5 linked regions of the Nothobranchius furzeri genome follow. The protein of the gene in region 5 interacts with the protein of the main gene of each other region in a pairwise test. Links are inferred from orthologs where the notes say so. Each region holds a gene or a part of one and is shown on either strand. Other genes may lie near its edges.

Region 1 (3,988 bases), on a different chromosome or scaffold from region 5:
TTCCAGCATTCTGGTGTTACAGTGGAGCAGAGCATTTGTGCCAAAACAAATGATTATCAAACAACAATTATCACCAAAAGATTAAATCTAGTGTCATAATGATCAATCCAAACCATTATAGGCTGCAGGTTCCTGCTTGTTATACTGAACTAAATAAAGTAAATGCAGAAAAATAAAACAACACATTTAAATAGTCTTTTTTTATCTAGATTTGTGCAACAAACAGAAGTCCAATCTGCTGCCCTGGCTGCTACTTATCAAGTCCTCTGACAAAATCGGAGTTAGAGTGAAGATCTAATTATAGCAGCACCTTGTGGAAACAGCTGAGGGGGTCTGAACCTATTTATTTCACCACTGAGCCTCTCCAACACACACGCATGTATATATATATACACACACACACAGTACTACTTTCACAAACGACACTGAGAACTGCACCGGTCATGCATCACCTCCAGCCCTGCCCCGAACCAAGCCTGGATGTTCTGTTGGGCCGACAGAGCTGCTCAGAAAAAGTCAGTGCCATTTTAAATCGAGAGGACGTAAGTACAACCCAAGGGCCAAACTCTAACAGAATTCCTCAAATTAGAGCTCAGTTAAAAACTATTTACCCCACCCACCCCATTCCTCCTCCCATACTGGTCACACTCCTCTCTCAATCCTTCGCGCTGCTACTCTCAGAGTGACCTCAGCAGGAATTCCTCCACTCCAAAAAACAAGGGCTCAAGAACGCTCCACCGGTGTTAACAGCAACACCAGCTGAGGACTGTGGAAGACGAACCCGCTGACAGCAGTCCTCCTGAATCCCACTCAAACTTATGCACTCTCCCACAGCACAGGATGGCAAAATAAGTTCAAAAAGAGAGAAAAACAGATTATTTATAAACCTCCTGCATGTTGTGTCTTGTAGACCGCTCCATGTAGCTTTACAGTCACCCAGAACGTTGCCTGAAAATAGAAACCCTGTAGCCACCCGATACGTGCCATGACATACATGGGAAAAGAGGGAGGGTCAACGGAAACGAAGAGAGGAATACAGTGGTGCCGGGGGGGGGGGGGGGGGACGACCTCCTCCAGCAGCCATGATGGCATGATTAGCAAAATCTGAAGTGGAGAAATTAATACTTAAGTTGCAATCCTAATGTATTCCAAAAAACTAATTATATTTTATACTGATCTTTCATCTAAATGTTGTATAATCTTTGTTAATCCTGGTTGAAATATTTTGTTTTTACGCTGAAATGTAAGAATCATCCTGTAAACAAACTGATTCTGTAGACAGAAAACATTTCAATGGACTCCACCACAAAGCAGCAGCCATTAGTAAGACTCTTACAGTCCATTAAAGAAAAGCTGCCTTATCTCTCCATCACTAACACTCAATAAATGCCCTTCCAGGGTTCTGAACCTTTACCTTGCGTGCGATTGGTTCCTGACCTTCTGACAGTCCATACCAGCTGACAAGTTTATTCCAGCCTTCGGCAGGGACCAGGATGTAGTCGAGCTCATCGATGAGGTGGTCCTTGATGGCCAGCACATCCCCATCTAGAAAGAGAGGGAACAAGGGATGAAAGGAGAGGACGAGAAACACAATCAGAACAAAGAACGCATCACTGACTGTGTGCTTTCTCACACAAAAAAACAAAAGGTAGGCTGGGGAGCTTCTATGAAGTCAGTAGACAATTCTAGCTTTGTCTCCATTTTGCTGAAATTGTCGGTAATTTCAGAATGAAGACACTCAGCAGAGACACAATTATTAAAATATTAGATTATTAATACTGAACTTTACAATCTTCTGTTTTGCTGTATTTATTTGCTAGAAAAACCTACCTAAACTGACTTTGACAGATATTCTCTGAAACAACTAAATATTAAAACATGCACGATGGTAATCAACCACAGCTGAAGAAAGAGGAACAAACAACAGGTAAACAGAAATATTAATGTAGGACCTAGTTTAGTAGTTTGAGTTTTCACCGGTCTTACCTTTGAGTAGGCCAGAGTTATCCACCGGTCCGGGGTAAACATTCTGGTCCCCCATCTGGTATTTATCCCAGCTGTCAAATCCCACATATTTCTTCCACTGTTTGAACCAGCGACTGTCCACTAAATACCTAGAGGAGACCACCACGGTTTACTCAATAACAACAGTGTTTTAAAAGACTCTGAGAGGCAAACACTACACCCAACAGCTGATTTATTGACGGTAGGTGGAGTTCAGATTGCTGCAATCCCAGCCAGCTGGCTCTGAGATTTTGACAGGTGTTTTTTTTTTTACCGACTCCGCCCAACTAAAGTCGACAGACGAACCCCCTGACTGGAAAATCACTTGGAGCGACACATGCTAACCAAGTAGCTAAATTAGCCTGCTACTTACCCAACAGGCTCTTTAGTATTGTTAAGGTCATGAAATCAGATAAAAACAACATTATTCGTTTAGAACGGATTACAATTGCGCGTAGAGTTCAGAATTTAAACGTTAAGAGTCAGTTCTTCATTTAAACTGACCAGAGCCAGCGGTTAGCTGGAACGCTCTCGTTAGCAACCCAAACGCCTCACTGTCAACACGGCCCGTCACCTCGGCTTTTCTAACATTTGTGGCTTTGTCACTCGCAGCAGAGCCAGGCGGCGGCCACGCAGTCCCTCAAGAGAGATCTCGGTTCATGCCTTACCAGGTGTCCCCTTTCCTAAGCTGTGTTTTCAATAGTGTCGTGATCTCTCCTCTCTGAGTATCCAGATCAGCCGCTCCTCCTTCGGCCATCTTTACTCGAACGTTGCATGGTGGGAAAAGCGTGCGGCGTCATCGACGCACGTTGAGCGTAATTGATCTACTGACACCAATCAGGAGCCAAGCAGCGGTGCAGAGGAAGGTGTGGCAAGCTCTTTTCACATTTAAGATAGGCTAAAGGTGCTTTGTCATTCAATTCCATTAGGTCAAAATAAACATATTAGAGAGCAATAAATACCTGCGACCTGGAAAAAAATTCAGATAGCTCCAACAATCGTTACAGGACAAATAGAATAGAATAGAATAGAATAGAATAGAATAGAATAGAATAGAATGACACTTAACTGTCCACCGTGGTGGAAATTTTTCTTTAGCTCTCAAGAACTGAAAAAAAAGCCAAATTCATGTATGCAAGTTGGGTTTTTACTCTAATTAGCTGGATTAAAATTGTCAGATGTCTTAAACAGAACTCCTCTCATATTAAGAAAATTATTATTTCCGATATCTATCATTTAATCCCTCATTTTAGACATCTACAACAATACCAGACATCCCTAAAATACTTGAGAAAAATGTTTGTATTAAGAATGTAAGTGAGTATAGCTTTCATTTAAATTTTGACAAGTAAAAGTGACATTTTACGTCTGGGATGTCTCCATCTGCCTCTGCAGGAGCTGTCCATGGTCTCCACAGTGGGAGGTTTTTTTTTAAATGGAGGTCATCTTCCCCATCCTCCTATCACACATCTCCTATACTGAATCCAGTGGGCAGCCCAGAACCGAGCTATCTAATAGTGTTCAAGAAGATGCTAATACATGGACCATTGCTATGGGATTAGATTTGTGCCAGTAGGATCAAGAAAAAACACTTTGGAGATCAAACAAATTTTAAGACATTGAGAGAGAAAAAATGAATGGATTAATGATGTAACTCTGACTGAATGATTATCTAAGTGAGTATGTTTGAAAATAAATTTCTTACCAGTATACAGATCTGACATTTGTTTGTCAGAACAGGACAAATCAGATTCACTCTGCTTTCTGTCACCCTAAATCAGATCCATATCTGATGTTTTTATTACTCAAGTTTGCATGAACTAGGGCTGCAGCTATCGAATATTTTCGTAATCGAGTACTCTATTGAATCTTTTATCAATTAATCGAGTACTCTAATAAATGACCCTTTTGTGTTTGTAAACCATTATATAAATTAGCATGTTATAAAATATGAAAGACCTCTTCAAATGAGCACGCAATTGCC
Region 2 (4,231 bases), on a different chromosome or scaffold from region 5:
TGATTTGAAGCAAAGCAGGCGAGTTTAGCCTGCAGACTGATGCAATTATTACCTTCTGCTCTTCTGTGAAATCTGATGAATTTGAATTTTGGACCTCTTTCTGCAGCTGCCTTGCTAATCTGGATTAACGAGAACAGTTAGATGGGTTAATCAATCAATTCCAAGACGATTTGTCACATCAGTGGGCTGTTCTGCGCCCCCTTTTGGTCAACGTGGGACACTGTCAAGTCATCTATCTGCACTAAAGAAATCTAAAACGTGTCATTAAAATGAATTATTACATAAACATGATCACATCCTGAAATAACTTGCGGAGTCTGATCTCCTCAGAGAACAAGAGAGCTTTCCTCACTGAACACACGAAACCCACCCATAACAATGAGAGGGTGTGGCTGACTGTTTCCCAACACTCTAAGGAATATTGGTTATTCTCTTCTCCTAACGCTCAGAAACAAGACATTCAGCTTTGGGTGTTTCTTTTTGTTCTTCTCCCCTCTGTGAATGAAGATGGGATGGGACTCCGCTGCCTCTGCAACAATGCCACATCACGTCATGGATGGGAAGGGTTTATTTACTGCTGTGGGGGCTGACTGACAGCTCCGAGGCTAACTTCTGCAGGTTTAAGAGCTGACAAGCTTTAAGACAGCAAAAAAATAAAAAGCTAAACAAGCCGTCCTCGCTGTTCCAGATGTTTACACTCAATCGTACAAAAATAAGACACACATGTTGAATGTAACTCACATTTGGTACTCGTCTATAGCCTCTACCAATTGTCCCCACGAGTCAAAGTCTGTGCCTTTCTTGAAACTGGCGTGCCATTTCTGAATAGTCTTGTTGACATCAGACATTTTGGCGGGGCGGATACTCGCGGCGCTCTCAGGGCAGCATAGCCGAGGTGGAGATTTATTTACGCAGCTTCGGCAGCCTGGTTATCTCCCGTCCAGACATACGCGGATAAGACCGGTGACACACGGACCAAGCCCTTTCTGCCTGTTCAACACTGGGACTTCCGGTGCAGACAGGAAGTCCCGCCCCGGGGTTAGGTGCACTCGTTTTAGGGTGCTGGGTTGCCTGACTGAGAACAAATCACAACAACAAAGTGCTCTAATTTGAATTTTCGATAAAAAAAATTCATTGCTTTAAAAAAAATTTAAACTTCATAAAGCAAAAATATATTTAATATATTAAAATATTTATCATCCAAAATACTAGCATTTACTTTTTAACGTTACTTTCATGTTTAAAAATGTCAATAAATAAAGAGTAACGTATCCCAGAAACCTATTCTATTCATACTTTTTTATTTATTTTGCCTTGTTCAAAAGATTTACAACACGTGATACGTGCCGTTATACAAGAAATAATAAATAAAACATTGATATTTATTTTAGCAGTTTCCCGTCGCTTTTATTTCGAAATGAATTGTACCGTTTTCCGGTGTCTCCCGGATCGCTACCGCGTTAGCATGTAGCAGTTATGTGACGGAAGACACACATCGACATATACATATAAGACACAACAACAGCGGAGTGTTTGGCCTGTGACAGAATGGCTTAACATGGATAGTGCAACGGCGGATTCATGTTCGGCTGAGGACGGTGAATGTTCGGACTCGGAGGTCTTGTGTCTGATGAGAGTCGGAAAAAAATCAGACTGGCTTCGTTTGTTCGAAAAGGCAGAGGTACAGTTTGCTAATGTTAGCTTAACTAAAAAAAATCATTTTCAGGATTGTGCTATGTATACATACAATAGGCATGCCATTTTATTCATTAAGTTTTTTCTAACGGCGTAGTGGACCCTGTTTATATGGAAAAACTGTAAATTGACGTTTGTTTTTGACTGCTCAGATCACTGTTGGACGTGGTTTGGATGTCACCTACCAGCTGCTGTCTTCAAGTAGTCCTCTCATGATCTCCAGACTGCACTGTGCCTTCAGACAGATAGAAGACGGTCACTGGACAGTGGTAGACAAAAAGGTAGCCTTATTTCTTGAGCTAACTCTCCTAAAATTGATCTCTAACAGATGATGGGGCTATTATTAACAGCAGCAGCTAATACCAAGTTAAATCTTAGTAAATAAGTTATTATTATTATTATTATTATTAATTATCTTCCACAGAGTCTCAATGGTGTCTGGGTGAACGGAAATCGGATTTCTGCCGATGAACCTTACCTGCTCAAACTTGGAGACTCGATCCGACTTGGAGTTCCTTTATCAGGAACCAAAGTAGAATTTGATTACATCCTCATCCGGCGACTGCTCAGAAACATTCAGCCGTACCTGGCAAAGGCATGTAGAACTTGGGCTAAAGAGCCGCAAGTCTCCAAAAAATCCAAAAGGAAGTTGACTGTGGAGGAAGTCGAGCCTTCTACATCAAAGCCTAAGCTGTACCGCTGCGATTCAGAAGGGAAATCTTTTGCAAAACCCTGTCCTCTGTCTGCGGTGAAATGCCAGCAGCGGCTCAGTAACACACACCTGGAGGAGACGGCATCCAGCACACAAAAACAAGAGCAGCACTCTGATGGATCCAGTGATCCTTGTGAAGTGGACAACCTGCAGAGGTAAAGTGTGACTCCTCGTAAAAAAGGTTCTCAATCAAACCAAAGACACTGCTCCTTTACAAGCTTTTATTTAATACATTTGCTGAATTATGTGTCACATATTCAAACAGACTCCTCTCTACTTTTAATGAAAATAATACTCTTTAGGAGTTGTCCATTCTGATGTTCTGTTGTGTAAAAGTTGTAAATATTAATGTATAACCTGCAGGTACAGCCAGAATCTCCTGCTGTTACGGGAGCAGGTGGATGACACCCAGAAGCAGGTATCATCTCTTGGAGGAGAACCCAGGCGGGCAGATCCTCTCCGACGGGAGCAGGTCCGTGAGCTGCAGGGTCAACTGGAAACCCTTAGAGCCAAAATGTGTCAAATGAAGACTTTAGAGAGAACCTTCAGTAAAACAAGGAGACAGTTGGAGGTCAGGAGTGTTGTTTTTTTTTCTTTTTGAAACATCGTTACATTTTCATTCCCCCAACCCGCAATTGCTTTATTTTACAGCGTTAGTTTAACTTTTAATTCTCCACATTTCAAAATGATTCAGCCATACTTTAAATAATCTTGGTAACGTTGCAAAAAAAAGATCTTAAACATAACAAAACCTGTTAAAGAGCTACATTTCTGCATCATATTCCATATCGATATTAATATTCCAGAGCATATTAATATTGAGCATCTTTTTTGGGGTTTCAAACAAAAGCGCCACATATGGAAAGTAACACGTTCCTCACCCTTCTTGTTCTGACATATGTGAATCAAAAGGTTCATCTGCATTTACAATTAGAAAAATATATATGTCCATAAAAATAAAGTTTCAATTTAAGTGAATCGTCTGTCTTTTATGCGTTTAGGAGCAGAAAACACAGCAGCAAGAGGAGCTAATGAAAAAACAACTTGAAGAGGCTCTTCAGGAAGTAAGAAGGTTCAATTAAACTAATTAAAAGCTGTTAACACATTTAATTTAAACTAACAGTTTTTTAGTTTATTTCTTTAAGTTTTTGATTAAATGTAATAAAAAGTTTTTTTGTGCCTGTTTTTTCAACAAACAGCAAAAGAAAGTGATCGACGAGCTTGCCGACTCTCGAAAAACATTTGAAGAAATCCTCTCTGCGAAAAACAAAGAACTAGAAGAAACAAAGGTGCCTGAAAGACACTTTTTAAAACACACATTTTTACCTTGGTTGTCACTTTGATTCATATTTTTTTTCCTCCAGGAGGAAAAAGAAAAGGCGAAAGCCCAAAAGGAGGAGGTAGTAACACAAGTCACAGAGGTTCTGGAGAACGAGCTCCAGTGCATCATCTGCTCAGAGCTCTTCATCGAGGTAGAGCCAGGAACCTGTTTGGGATCATCTTACTCACAAAAACCCGACTTCACCTGCTGAAATTAAAAAAAAATGTCCCTGTACAGGCGGTCATCCTGAACTGTGCTCACAGCTTCTGCTGTTACTGCATCAAGTTGTGGCGCAAGAAGAAAAACGAGTGTCCCATCTGTAGACAGGCTATCGAGTCCCAGACCCGGTGTCTGGCCCTGGACAACTGCATCAACCGTATGGTGGAGAACCTGAGCCTGGACATGAAGGCCCGGCGGCAGACGCTCATCACTGAAAGGAAAGGTGAGAGGTGTGTTCTCATCATCCACGCCAAACTCATAGAAATGAATCATCCATCTTTGAT
Region 3 (4,115 bases), on a different chromosome or scaffold from region 5:
CAGGGATGCATGACATATCGGCATCAATATCTATGTTTTACATATCGGTATCGGTCTGATAAGGACAACTGGACCGATATTAACTGAATATATATAAAAAGAAAGACGTCCAAAATTTCTGCTTACATAACTTTAAGTCTCCATAAAATCTGCTGACTTCAGAAGCATAAATGTCAGCCTGTATATGTCGCATCGACAAATATCGATTATCAGCCATAACAATATCGACATCAGCCCAAAGTTTCATTTCGTTGCACCCCAAGACGAAAGGGTCTCACCTGCATGACTTTGGGTAGGATGGTTTTGTTGAAGTGATCCTCCAGTGTAGGAGCGCTGAAGTCTCTCTTGTAAACATCCTCCTCCTCATCCTAACACACAAAAACCACACAATAAATCCCTACACGTATAACCTGTTGGTGACCCATCACAAACGATCACCTCCTTCAGAATCTGGTGGGATTTCCTGTCATTTACAGACATCTAAATAATAAAGGTGTTATAAGAAAGGGTACGCCGTTTTTATCACACAATAATTGTCAAAGAAAAGACACTGCAGCTGTAAATGAAGATTTTAGGAAAATCTCTTGGTTGTCTTAAAAATTTGCTTTTTTATGAATCCTGGTGACAATCCCGTGAAAAGGACTCTTGTGTCTGCTGGGACTCACCATGAAGAAGGCTCCTCTGTGGTAGTATTTCTGCAAGAACTTGTATTTGCCTTTGGAGGCTTTGTTGGTGACGACTTTGCCGCTGTTGCGTAGCTCCGCCCTGCGTTCCTCTTCCGTCATATTGTGGAATCTGTCAATTTCACCCTTCTCTCTCTCCATTCTGACAACAAAACACCACAAATGACCGTCCTGAAGAGAACTGCATCACTCTTTCACCATAAATCCTTTGGAATCCTGCAGTTTACTTACGCTTCCCGGGCCTCTCGGTCTCTCTTGATGCGTTTCAGCTCTCGGACCTTCCAGGCTTCATATTCCTCCTCTTCATTCTCCCCGTCAGTGTCCAGAGCTTCCAGTGCAGCCAGCGAGCGCCGGTTCTCTTCAAACTCCTTCTTAGCCTCCTCCTCAACAATCTTGAGGGTGTAGCGCCGCCGATCCTCTGCCTGCCTCTTGGCCTCGGCCTCCAGCTCTCGCTGCTTCAGCTCCTCGGCTTCGCGCTCTGCCACAGTGACTCTGTCCTTTCTGCAGTGCAAAAAAAAAACATTTGAGCTAGTGTTCTGAATCTGGAATTTTTATTGAAACATTTTTAGTTTAGTTCTCACTTGCGAATAAAAACAGGCTTAAGTCTCGGCTCTGCTTCATCCTCACTGTCTGTGTACTCCTCATATTCTGACTCCGACTCAGACTCCTCTCCTGACTTCCCCTCCTCCTCCACCTCCATCACTTCCATCTCTTCATTTTTCCTCTCCATTGCACGCTGGCGCATCATTGCTCGCCTCCTCTCAATTTCCTGGTCACAAGCACGATGAGCAAATTAATAATTTGTTCAAAATGCAACAAAAAAGTTAAAAGGATTTTATTTTTTTGGTGCACAATTGCTACCTCATCATCCACTTCTTCCTCCTCTTCCTCCTCCTCCTCCTCTTCATCGTCGCTGCTCTCCTGATGCTCAGGGTGCCATGTGCCTTCATCAGAGTCCTCACTGCTCTCAGCAACAACTTCAGGCTCTACGATCTGTCTGTGTCTTGCGAGCCTGAGCACAAACAAACGGGAAACATTTTGACTCAAAATGTTGACAGAATTTGAGTTTAATCAGAAAAACTGAGTGATACCTCTCCTCCACGTCCTCAGAAGTTCGATTGAGCAAACGTTTGAGACGTGGGTCATTCACATCTTCTTCCTGCTGCTCTACCTCCAGCTCCATTTCCACTCCCTTTTTAGCAAACTTGAATTCCTCCTCCTCTTCATCTGACGACTCCATGGGGGCATAGTCTGGACGTTTACCTGACACATACCTCTTCACCTTCACCTTCTCCATGGAGATCTCACCTACATTGTGTACAGAAAAGGGCATGATTATATACACTTCCTCAAGCTTAGTACAAGAGTATTTAAACAGGAAAAAACACTCAACCATAAAAAACGTAAAACAATATGTTGCAGATTTATTTAAATTAAATCAGACAGATACAGCATACCCCTCGCCCTTGGGAGTAATAAAATGACCCCAAAACTCAGACGTAAGCTTAAAACAACGAGTTAATGTCTCAGACAAGCTCTTATTAGGTAGACAGATAAATGACGTTACAAAAGCCCATGAATACTTTTAAGGGACTTAACAGATGACTTATCTAACACGTAAAAAAGTTGAAAAGCTATTTAAAATATATTTTTTCCAGTTGTTTATAAACATTTGTGTTGGATCATCAAAGATCTTGAATCTTGTTTAAAAAAATGTAAACTGTCAGTTGTTCCTCCATTTCTAGATTTTAAACTGTTACTCCCACCACACACACACATTTTACTCTCTTAAAAAACCAACATCACAAAATTGCTTTTCAGCTTGTTTTGCTGAGTAATGAATTAGTTATTTAGAAACTTAACTCGCGTTTTTTGACGCTACATAACAGATGCTACATTAGCATGGAAGCTAACCCTAACACGATTCACCTTTCTCATTCCGGATGGGCACGGCTCCTGCCGTGGACTGGATCGGTGGGAGCTTCATGTTGACGCTTTCGTGACTAGACATGACTGCCCGGTCAACAACACAAAACTATGGACGTGAAATAAAAGGATGTTGCGCTTAGTCTCAACAATCTCTTGGCTGCTTCGTTTCAAAACCGGAAGTTGAACAACTTCCGCGAACGGACAGGAAGTGCATTTGTTCCGAAGAGAAAAACCAAAAACTCAAGAATCAAATGAACAGGAAAGCGTCTCACATTAAATTGTTTTTACAAAACTGACATTTATGCATTTTTATAAACGTGTTTTCTAAATGACCATCAAGCTAATTAAAATCGATTAAATTGTAAATTGTAAATCACCGCCCCTTGGTGGTTTTTATGTTTCATGCATGATAGGCCTTCAAGTCAAGCTTTTTTTCATTATGATCAGAAACCCGATTTCACCCTAACAAATATAACCAACATCAAACATTCCGTTTTTTTTTTACAAAAATGACAGGCAGCTTAACAAACTACATTTCTTCTGCTCCAGGCAAGTTCAATTTACTAGCACAATAAATAAGTGCACGCCCTGACCCTTAACAGAGTAATAGGATGGACTGAGGTTGGCTTGTAACTTTGGCATCATGGTTTATTTAAAAACAAAAGGCTAATCTGACTGACTTTCTAATAAGCAACTCTTCACTTATCTAAAAAAAAAACTTTGTGTCTGTGTGAAAATTATTTGAAAGGTTTGATGACAATGAACCAGACTTATAAAAGAAATGTCATATGTTTTTATTCTTTTAATTTTCTGTTCTGGTTTGCATGACTTTAAAAATTTGACAATAATACAAATGACAGTGCAGCAGACAGTACATTCACACTTCTTTCTTTTTTTTCTGAAGCTCACTCATAAAGGTGCATTTGAGTTGTCATTTTAACAGTATAGACGTGTGGCTTTGCCATCAGAGTTGAATGCCTCTCTGAACAAGTCCTCCAGCTTCCCCTCCAGGGCAGAGTTAGTTCCTTTCAGGCCTTTCACCACCTCAGAGGCCCAAACAAAGTACTCCTGGACCCGCTCAGTGTTCCAGCCTGCCAGGCAAACAAAAGGTAGACAACATGATAAACACCATTATTTAGGGAGGCAATAATTAGAGAAGCAGCTACAATAAACAAGTCAGTGTAGGTAGTGATCAGAGCAGATCAGTTTACGTGATAACACAACACAGGGTCAGGTGACTGAAACAAAGCAACTGCAGTGGGCAGGTCTACGATTGGCATTCATGAGTCTGACCGTGGAGGGGAAGAAACTGTTCTTGTGGCTAGCGATTCTGGTCTGAATGGATCAGAGCCTCCTGCTAGGTGGGAGCGAGTATAATGGGCCATTCCCATCTGTATCGGGTCAGCCTGGGCCGGGTAGCGTAGGTTGTTTACATATCTGGGTGGCCTGGTATTTTTCCGGGCCAACCAAGGCTCATTCTCAGCCCTCTTCTCGAGGGGGTCT
Region 4 (3,512 bases), on a different chromosome or scaffold from region 5:
GCCGCCACGCTCAGCTCCTCCATGGCCAGACGGGATGGGTGGGTGGCGTTCTCCTCTAAGTAGCGCAGGAGACCTTCCACCTCCTGAGCAGCCCTCTTACGGGCCCCTTGCAGCTCCACCTTGCCCTCCGTGTCCACCTGGTCCACCTCCAGCAGCAGCCGGGTTAGCTCGCGCTCCATCCGCTTGTATTCCCGGTCGTCCTGCAGGCCACTGAAGGTGCAGACGTGCGGCCCCAGAGACAACACCTCCTTCTGGACCTCATAGAGCCGCATCATGGCAGGGTGGTGCTGCTGCTGCTCCACTGGATGTTGATGGTGCGGCTCCTGTGGGCCACCATGCTCCATCCTCTTCCCTCCATCAAAAGGCTTCCCAAAGAGGCTGGAGAAGAGCAAAACAAAAGACAACCAGAACAGTTAGTCAAATCTGATAGATTTATGTGTTTTAGTGGTGAAAGTCGTCGTCGTCTTCCTCCGCTTATCCGGGTCCGGGTCGCGGGGGCAGCATCCCAACTAGGGAGCTCCAGACCGTCCTCTCCCCGGCCACCTCCCCCAGCTCCTCCGGCAGGACCCCAAGGCGTTCCCGGACCAGATTGGAGATGTAACCTCTCCAACGTGTCCTGGGTCGACCCGGGGGCCTCCTGCCGGCAGGACATGCCCGAAACACCTCCCAAGGGAGGCGTCCAGGAGGCATCCTGACCAGATGCCCAAACCACCTCAACTGGCTCCTTTCGATCCGGAGGAGCAGCGGTTCTACTCCGAGTCCCTCCTGAATGTCCGAGCTCCTCACCCTATCTCTAAGGCTGAGCCCGGCCACCCTACGGAGGAAACTCATTTCGGCCGCTTGTATCCGCGATCTCGTTCTTTCGGTCATTACCCAAAGCTCATGACCATAGGTGAGGACTGGGACGTAGATCGACCGGTAAATCGAGAGCCTGGCTTTCTGGCTCAGCTCCCTCTTCACCACGACAGATCGGCTCAGCGTCCGCATCACTGCAGACGCCGAACCAATCCGCCTGTCGATCTCCCGATCCCTCCTACCCTCACTCGTGAACAAGACCCCGAGATACTTAAACTCCTCCACTTGAGGTAGGACCTCTCCCCCGACCCGGAGTTGGCAAGTCACCCTTTTCCGGTCGAGAACCATGGTGTCAGATTTGGAGGTGCTGATCCTCATCCCAGCCGCTTCACATTCGGCCGCGAACCTACCCAGCAAGAGCTGAAGGTCAGAGCTGGATGAAGCTAGGAGGACCACATCATCCGCAAAAAGCAGAGACGAGATTCTCCTGCCACCAAACTTGACAACTCCACACCACGGCTGCACCTAGAAATTCTGTCCATAAAGGTCATGAACAGAACCGGTGACAAAAGGCAGCCCTGGCGGAGTCCAACCCTCACCGGGAACAGGTCCGACTTAGTGGTGAAAGTTTCCTGGTAAATAGAACCACAAACTCTCTCTGACGGTTACTAAAAGCAGATTTGTGAGCTCTGTTCCTAAAACGAGACCAGCAAACCTGACAGGACGCTGACCTACATCTGACCTACATCCTGGTGCTGATGATGTGACCCACTGGCTGAAACGGGTCTGTGAAGAGCTGAGGAAAAGATTCACGTCTCGTCATCTAAAATCTGACTGTGTTAAATGTAACTGTAACTCTTCTGGTGCACGCAGGACATTCTCAGCTGTGCTTGGACTAGCCGTTAGCTCATCAGTCACGTAGGATGTCAGATTTGACATCACTGGAACTTCTACACAGAAACAAGTCAGACTATTTGTTTAATTTAATGTTATTTCATATGAAACGCCTGAGAGCTGGGCTTTGTTGTTTTCACCCTCACCTCTGTCTGCCAGGCTCAGCAGCTGCAGCCTGATGGTAGGACAGGAGCTGCTGGACATTTTCATGTTAAACATCTCAATTCAAAACACAAATGATGACTGTGGTCTCTTTAAAACTCCTTTTAATTTTAAAATCGATGTGCTCGACTGAGGAAAGACTAAATCAAACCATGTTTAACTGACCCTGCACAACCACTCTTAATGTATCTTACCTAATCTCACTGATGTCCTCTGAAGGCTAGATTTAAGCATCTTTGATGGTTAAAGTTAGTAGGAGGCAGAACGGGGGCAAAACACACTGGCAGTGAGCTTTAACCCTAACCCATGACCCCCACAAGGGTGGCATTGCTGATATTTTTTTCACAGGCATCAACGTAGCTAAAAGACAGATTTTATGTGCACCAGCCCATGTTTGGACACCTGGGCTCCCATAGCGGCACTTCTATGCTTTTATAGCAGCACCCGTTTGTCTACTTTTTCTTCATGTTGCTTTTTGATCATGTTTGCGTTCATTTTACTCATTCTAAATGAGACATGTCATGCTAAACCAGTACGTCCATTTCTGTCAGGTTCTGGGTTTCAGGAATTACAAATGTTAAAAACATGCAGCCTCAGGTGCAACACGGTTTCAGATCATGGATCTGAGGCCACAGGCTGTAGCTGTACAGCATCAGCAGTGCTCATCAGGACAAATGATGGATTCATTCCCAAGAGCACTTTTATTTAAGAGGACAGGGGATGGGCAGGTCAGGCTGGAGCTCCAGTCCTTATCAAAATCATCTCAGCAACATCCTTCATCGTTTTAGCCAATGATGCTGACTAGCCAAGAATCTGCCCAGCGGCAGAGCTCAGTCCTCCCTCCTGTAGGTCCCACAGCAAACCTACCACCATCAGCACCAGGCTGCCACCGCACCGGGCACGCTGCACGGCTCTGACCATCGAAAACCGGCTGATCGGGACGCACACACCACACCTCCACATCTGTCAGCATCCACTCTCAGCAGCGCCAGCCTCTCACCTTTTTAACACTCCGAACACGTTGGCGCACATTTCGCCAGAGGTCTTTTTCCATCAGCCAGAGCAGCGAAAGGAGCTGAAATCACGGTGTGTTTTTGGGTGGAGGTGCTGGTGACGATCCTCCGCGCTGAGCTGGGGGGCTACTGTCGCCCCTCCCACCACCACAACCACGCTCTGCCTTCAGGTCGCTGTCGGCCTCTTGGGTCTAATAAAGGCAGAAGCCAGGCTTACGCGGGCTTTGACTGGAGCTTTTGGATCCAGGACAGCAACAAACAAGGCCAGCCACCGCCCCCCCTCCTGATGCTTGGGTGTCAGTCAGGATGATCACCTGACTCTGCCCCACCTTGGCCTAAAACACTCCTGATTTTGGTCTTACAATGAGATCTCCCCCTAACCGTTGACACTTACCTGCACAGCCACCGTACAGCCATGTGAAGTGTTGCTGAAAAGGACGAACTTCCTCGGATTAAAGCTCAACATTAACGCACCTAACTACCTTCCACGACCCTGCTCCCGCATAATAACTAACACGGAGTTCGTGTTCTCTCAACACGCCTTCGTTAGCAGCATTTACCTCCGTTTTGTCGTGTTACAGAATGATACACTAAAAAAACTTTTTGGAATAAAATTAAATTCAACTGAATGTCAATTAATTAAAACAA
Region 5 (3,512 bases):
TGGTGCTGTGGGCCAGCTCCGGTCCAGGTTTCAGCTCCTCTGCCCCACTGGAAGGGTTTCAAACACTGCCAACACCTGCTGCAGTCTGTGGCGGGGTGCTGCGGGCGTTCTCCCCACCCGCTGGGAGTGTTTGAAACACCACCATCCTCTGCTGGAGACCGTGGCACGCTGCTGCGCCCTGGTTGTTTATTCTGTTATTGTTACCGGTACTTGTCTTGCAATGTGAAATGCTTGGTCTCAGAGTTTGTAAAAAAAAATAAATAAATTTCCCCCCAAAATGCGACTTATATATGTTTTTTTTCTTCTTCATTATACATTTTATGGCTGGTGCAACTTATACTCCAGAAAATACGGTATAGGACCTATAATAACCTGCATACATTCCTCTTACTTACTGTTTGTAGCTGTAGCTTGAGCACCCCCATTTCCTCCTGTGTTTTAGTTAGCTGGGCCTGAATTTAAGCAAAAATTTAAAATATAACAGATACATCAGAGGAAAGCTTGAAAAAGACCAAATACAAGGGAAACAGAGGAAGAGGATTATTTAATAACCAGCTCACACATAGATAACTAGTGTGTGTTAAAGTCAACTAAAGCTTAGCCAATAAAACCATACACACCTCCATATCCATGTTGTGGTTCTGTGTCCTTTGCAGAACCTCCTCCGCCTCTTTGAGTCGATTTGCGAGTTGAGGAGAGTATTCAGAGGGAGCAAGCTCACTGTCATAGGACTCCAGTATGGCCCTCATCCCATTTCGCTCCTGTAAAACAAGTGAAATATGGCATAATTAAATCATAAAGCATTTTTAAAATCCTTTCTGAACAAACATCTGTGCGGGACAAATTGGAGAAAGTCCAATTTAAAGCTCAGCTCTCTCAACTGTCAATAAGCATGCTTCTTCTTTCGGCTCTTGTAGAGTACAGATGCTTTTTTCCTCCTCTCCTCCCTATCTTATCCCCAGGGCTCTTTGTCTGTCTTTGGGTGTACGACGCTTCTGCATTTTTTCTGGAAACTGGAAATTATTAAAAATAGACCTGGTCAGCTGGCCTCTCAACCCGATTGACAACATTTTCTCAACGATGATAACGGGAGAAGGGGCTCCCGAATGCCCCTCTGGGACAGATCCAGTTGGGCATATCATGGACTCCTGGAAACAGTGGAACCTGATCTGCTTATCTCAACTGTCTGTAGAGGATTCTGAAGACGTATGGATATTTGTGGTGTTGGTGTCAGGTTTCCTACTTTTTGGCCTGGGAGGCTACCTGGCTTACCGGAAAATTAACGAGCTGTAAAGGAATATTGGCTCTTTCCTGGAGCTCGGGGATGATTACACCACGCTGTGAATGCACAGACTCATAATTGTCGAAAGAGTCGTAGGCTTGGAACTTTGACTGAGATTCAGGCTCTGGCAAAAAAGATGGATGCAATTAAGGAGCGAGTGGACGAATCAGCACGGATTGGGATAGATTAACTTACGCCATTATTGGATTTTGAGATGTTGAGGACCAACGGAACTTTAAGACAGAGAAGAAATTATCACTGTCTGGCCCCAAAACAAATTCTTCTCTGAATCTGGTGCCCTTGAGCCTGTGAGGCTGAAACAAATACTCCCCCTCAGAAGTAGGGATGGGTACCGAATTCGGTACTTTTTAAGGTACCGACCGAATTCCAGAGTACCGACCGAGCACCGATTCACGTCATTTCAAACGGTGCCTCGTTTCGGTACCCGTCCATCATAACGAGAACTTGCCAAGACAGCTGCGCATGCGCAAGAGCGTTTTGTCGTCGCTTGCTGTGAACCAGTTGTAAACAGAGCAGCATGGTAGAGAGAACGCAGGCTAAAGCTTGGGTCCACTTCACTAAATGTGATGGGTAACTGGATGATGAAACCAGCGACAACGATCTAAGTGAGACATCCTCATCTTAATCTGCTCCGGTACGTAAATATAATTAGCTTGATATGTTAGCTTCCATTTCGCTAATGGTGCGTTCGCTTTCTCCTCGGAACTCAGAATTTCCGACTAGAACAACATGAACGCGCTCTAAATTTTGGCTTCACTTTACTAAATGTGACGGGTGAAGACGAAACCAGTGACGATCTAAGTGTGAGGCATCGTTTTAATCTGCTCCAGCAGCTAAATAAACTGTTTAAGATATCGTTAGCTTGATATGTTAGCTTCCATTGCTACCATTGTTATCAGCTAATGGTGCGTTCGCTTTCTCCTCGGAAATTCTAACTTCCCAGTAGGAAAAATCAAATGAAAAAAGATGGCAAAAGGAATGAAGATTCACAGTAAATTTAGTTCACAGTAAAGATGTTTGCTTCAGTTTAATTATCAGCTTATAAAACTACAAGGGCAATGTTAAAATACAAACAGTTGTATGTTATTTATCGTGATATTTATGAAATATTGTTATATATTGAGAAAAATATATATTTAATTATAAAAGAGAATTAAAATAATAAACACTCAAAAGTATCGAAAATTGGTACCGTTAAGTACCGGTATCGATTTGTAGGTACCGGTAATTAGTACCGGATCGATTCAAATGTCAAAGGTACCCATCCCTACTCAGAAGAAATGTGGAATGCTGCCGTCGCCATGGCAACTCTGTCTCCCTATCCCAGGCTGGGCGGGACTGCGAGCTGTGAAGGCTGCTGAATCGTTCCAGGAGTCACTGTGCCCTCTAAACCCAATGACCACCTCCCCCTGTCCAGATGGGGGTGATGGGCGCTGCTTATTGCGGCTGCATGCACTGACGTGTGGAGAGTCCCAAACCCTACCACCCCACCTAGTGGACACTCATGCTGTGTTATGTCTGATGTCTGTTGCATTTCTGTCTGAGGTGTTTTTTGCATATCAAAGCTGCCCTCCCTGTGGAGGGTAACTCTGAAGTGCCTTTTTTCCTCCATCTGACTCAATCCTCATGTAAACCCCTCTGATCTCTATTAAGGTAGCGCGACTTGGGTTGCGAATGACCACAGTCACCAATTCTTGTCATGTGTCTGTGTATATATGTCTGATCTCAGAATTGTGTGTACTGACACTAATTTCCCTGTGGGATTAATAAAGTATCTTTGAATTTGAATTGAATTGAACTGAATCCAAAAACTTCACCTGAACTCAACAGGAATGGGATTATTGGCAACGCAATCTGAACACTCAGTCAACACAACACCTTCTTTATGCTCAACTTATTTTGCAAACACAGCTATGCAGCAACATCTAGGAAAAGAGAGGAGCTGTAATAAACTCCTCTCATCAGAGACTGAGCAAACTGTGAGACTAGAAAAATACTTTCTACACCACTAGCCTACATGCGGGAGGTAATTACTGCAGCTCCGTCTCATGTGCCATGTCGGCATCCCATTTAATCCTTTAATAGATTCATTATGCGACAGTTGGCTTTGCAGGGTTCAGAAAAATGCACGCTTTTCTCTTATTTAAGCAATTTTTCTGATTTAAAGTGTTTCATTTAATTCATCAAAACCGAATGGCACGTGCAAGTT

Evidence for each region.
Region 1: the proteins of mad1l1 (region 5) and ubiquitin carboxyl-terminal hydrolase 15 interact in binary tests that used the Homo sapiens proteins (3 or more experiments, as listed by UniProt). The two-hybrid records come from large-scale screens. The link is inferred for Nothobranchius furzeri from reciprocal best matches to the Homo sapiens genes MAD1L1 and USP15.
Region 2: the proteins of mad1l1 (region 5) and rnf8 interact in binary tests that used the Homo sapiens proteins (3 or more experiments, as listed by UniProt). The two-hybrid records come from large-scale screens. The link is inferred for Nothobranchius furzeri from reciprocal best matches to the Homo sapiens genes MAD1L1 and RNF8.
Region 3: the proteins of mad1l1 (region 5) and mfap1 interact in binary tests that used the Homo sapiens proteins (3 or more experiments, as listed by UniProt). The two-hybrid records come from large-scale screens. The link is inferred for Nothobranchius furzeri from reciprocal best matches to the Homo sapiens genes MAD1L1 and MFAP1.
Region 4: the proteins of mad1l1 (region 5) and bag5 interact in binary tests that used the Homo sapiens proteins (3 or more experiments, as listed by UniProt). The two-hybrid records come from large-scale screens. The link is inferred for Nothobranchius furzeri from reciprocal best matches to the Homo sapiens genes MAD1L1 and BAG5.

What each region holds. Positions count from the first base shown.
Region 1 is NC_091741.1:53,834,453-53,838,440, reverse strand, and holds the start of ubiquitin carboxyl-terminal hydrolase 15, read right to left. Parts: upstream 2,807-3,988; 5' UTR 2,762-2,806; coding exon 2,673-2,761; intron 2,115-2,672; coding exon 1,987-2,114; intron 1,546-1,986; coding exon 1,415-1,545; intron 1,028-1,414; exon of another isoform or gene 921-1,027; coding exon of another isoform or gene 888-920; intron 1-887. UniProt on the Homo sapiens protein: Hydrolase that removes conjugated ubiquitin from target proteins and regulates various pathways such as the TGF-beta receptor signaling, NF-kappa-B and RNF41/NRDP1-PRKN pathways.
Region 2 is NC_091742.1:8,358,483-8,362,713, forward strand, and holds the start of rnf8 (E3 ubiquitin-protein ligase rnf8), read left to right. Parts: upstream 1-1,427; 5' UTR 1,428-1,558; coding exon 1,559-1,681; intron 1,682-1,847; coding exon 1,848-1,976; intron 1,977-2,119; coding exon 2,120-2,562; intron 2,563-2,770; coding exon 2,771-2,978; intron 2,979-3,408; coding exon 3,409-3,471; intron 3,472-3,606; coding exon 3,607-3,696; intron 3,697-3,771; coding exon 3,772-3,879; intron 3,880-3,965; coding exon 3,966-4,170; coding exon of another isoform or gene 4,171-4,177; intron 4,178-4,231. Other genes in the region: aida (axin interactor, dorsalization-associated protein), read right to left, coding at 53-119, 742-848. UniProt on the Homo sapiens protein: E3 ubiquitin-protein ligase that plays a key role in DNA damage signaling via 2 distinct roles: by mediating the 'Lys-63'-linked ubiquitination of histones H2A and H2AX and promoting the recruitment of DNA repair proteins at double-strand breaks (DSBs) sites, and by catalyzing 'Lys-48'-linked ubiquitination to remove target proteins from DNA damage sites.
Region 3 is NC_091749.1:30,004,171-30,008,285, reverse strand, and holds the start of mfap1 (microfibrillar-associated protein 1), read right to left. Parts: upstream 2,810-4,115; 5' UTR 2,695-2,809; coding exon 2,613-2,694; intron 1,992-2,612; coding exon 1,775-1,991; intron 1,696-1,774; coding exon 1,545-1,695; intron 1,453-1,544; coding exon 1,265-1,452; intron 1,185-1,264; coding exon 915-1,184; intron 826-914; coding exon 666-825; intron 369-665; coding exon 279-368; intron 1-278. Other genes in the region: hddc3 (guanosine-3',5'-bis(diphosphate) 3'-pyrophosphohydrolase MESH1), read right to left, coding at 3,549-3,703. UniProt on the Homo sapiens protein: Involved in pre-mRNA splicing as a component of the spliceosome.
Region 4 is NC_091758.1:10,662,478-10,665,989, reverse strand, and holds part of bag5 (BAG family molecular chaperone regulator 5), read right to left. Parts: intron 3,423-3,512; exon of another isoform or gene 3,282-3,422; coding exon of another isoform or gene 3,259-3,281; intron 3,047-3,258; exon of another isoform or gene 2,884-3,046; coding exon of another isoform or gene 2,852-2,883; intron 379-2,851; coding exon 1-378. UniProt on the Homo sapiens protein: Co-chaperone for HSP/HSP70 proteins. It functions as a nucleotide-exchange factor promoting the release of ADP from HSP70, thereby activating HSP70-mediated protein refolding.
Region 5 is NC_091744.1:8,623,625-8,627,136, forward strand, and holds part of mad1l1 (mitotic spindle assembly checkpoint protein MAD1), read right to left. Parts: intron 762-3,512; coding exon 621-761; intron 453-620; coding exon 396-452; intron 1-395. UniProt on the Homo sapiens protein: Component of the spindle-assembly checkpoint that prevents the onset of anaphase until all chromosomes are properly aligned at the metaphase plate.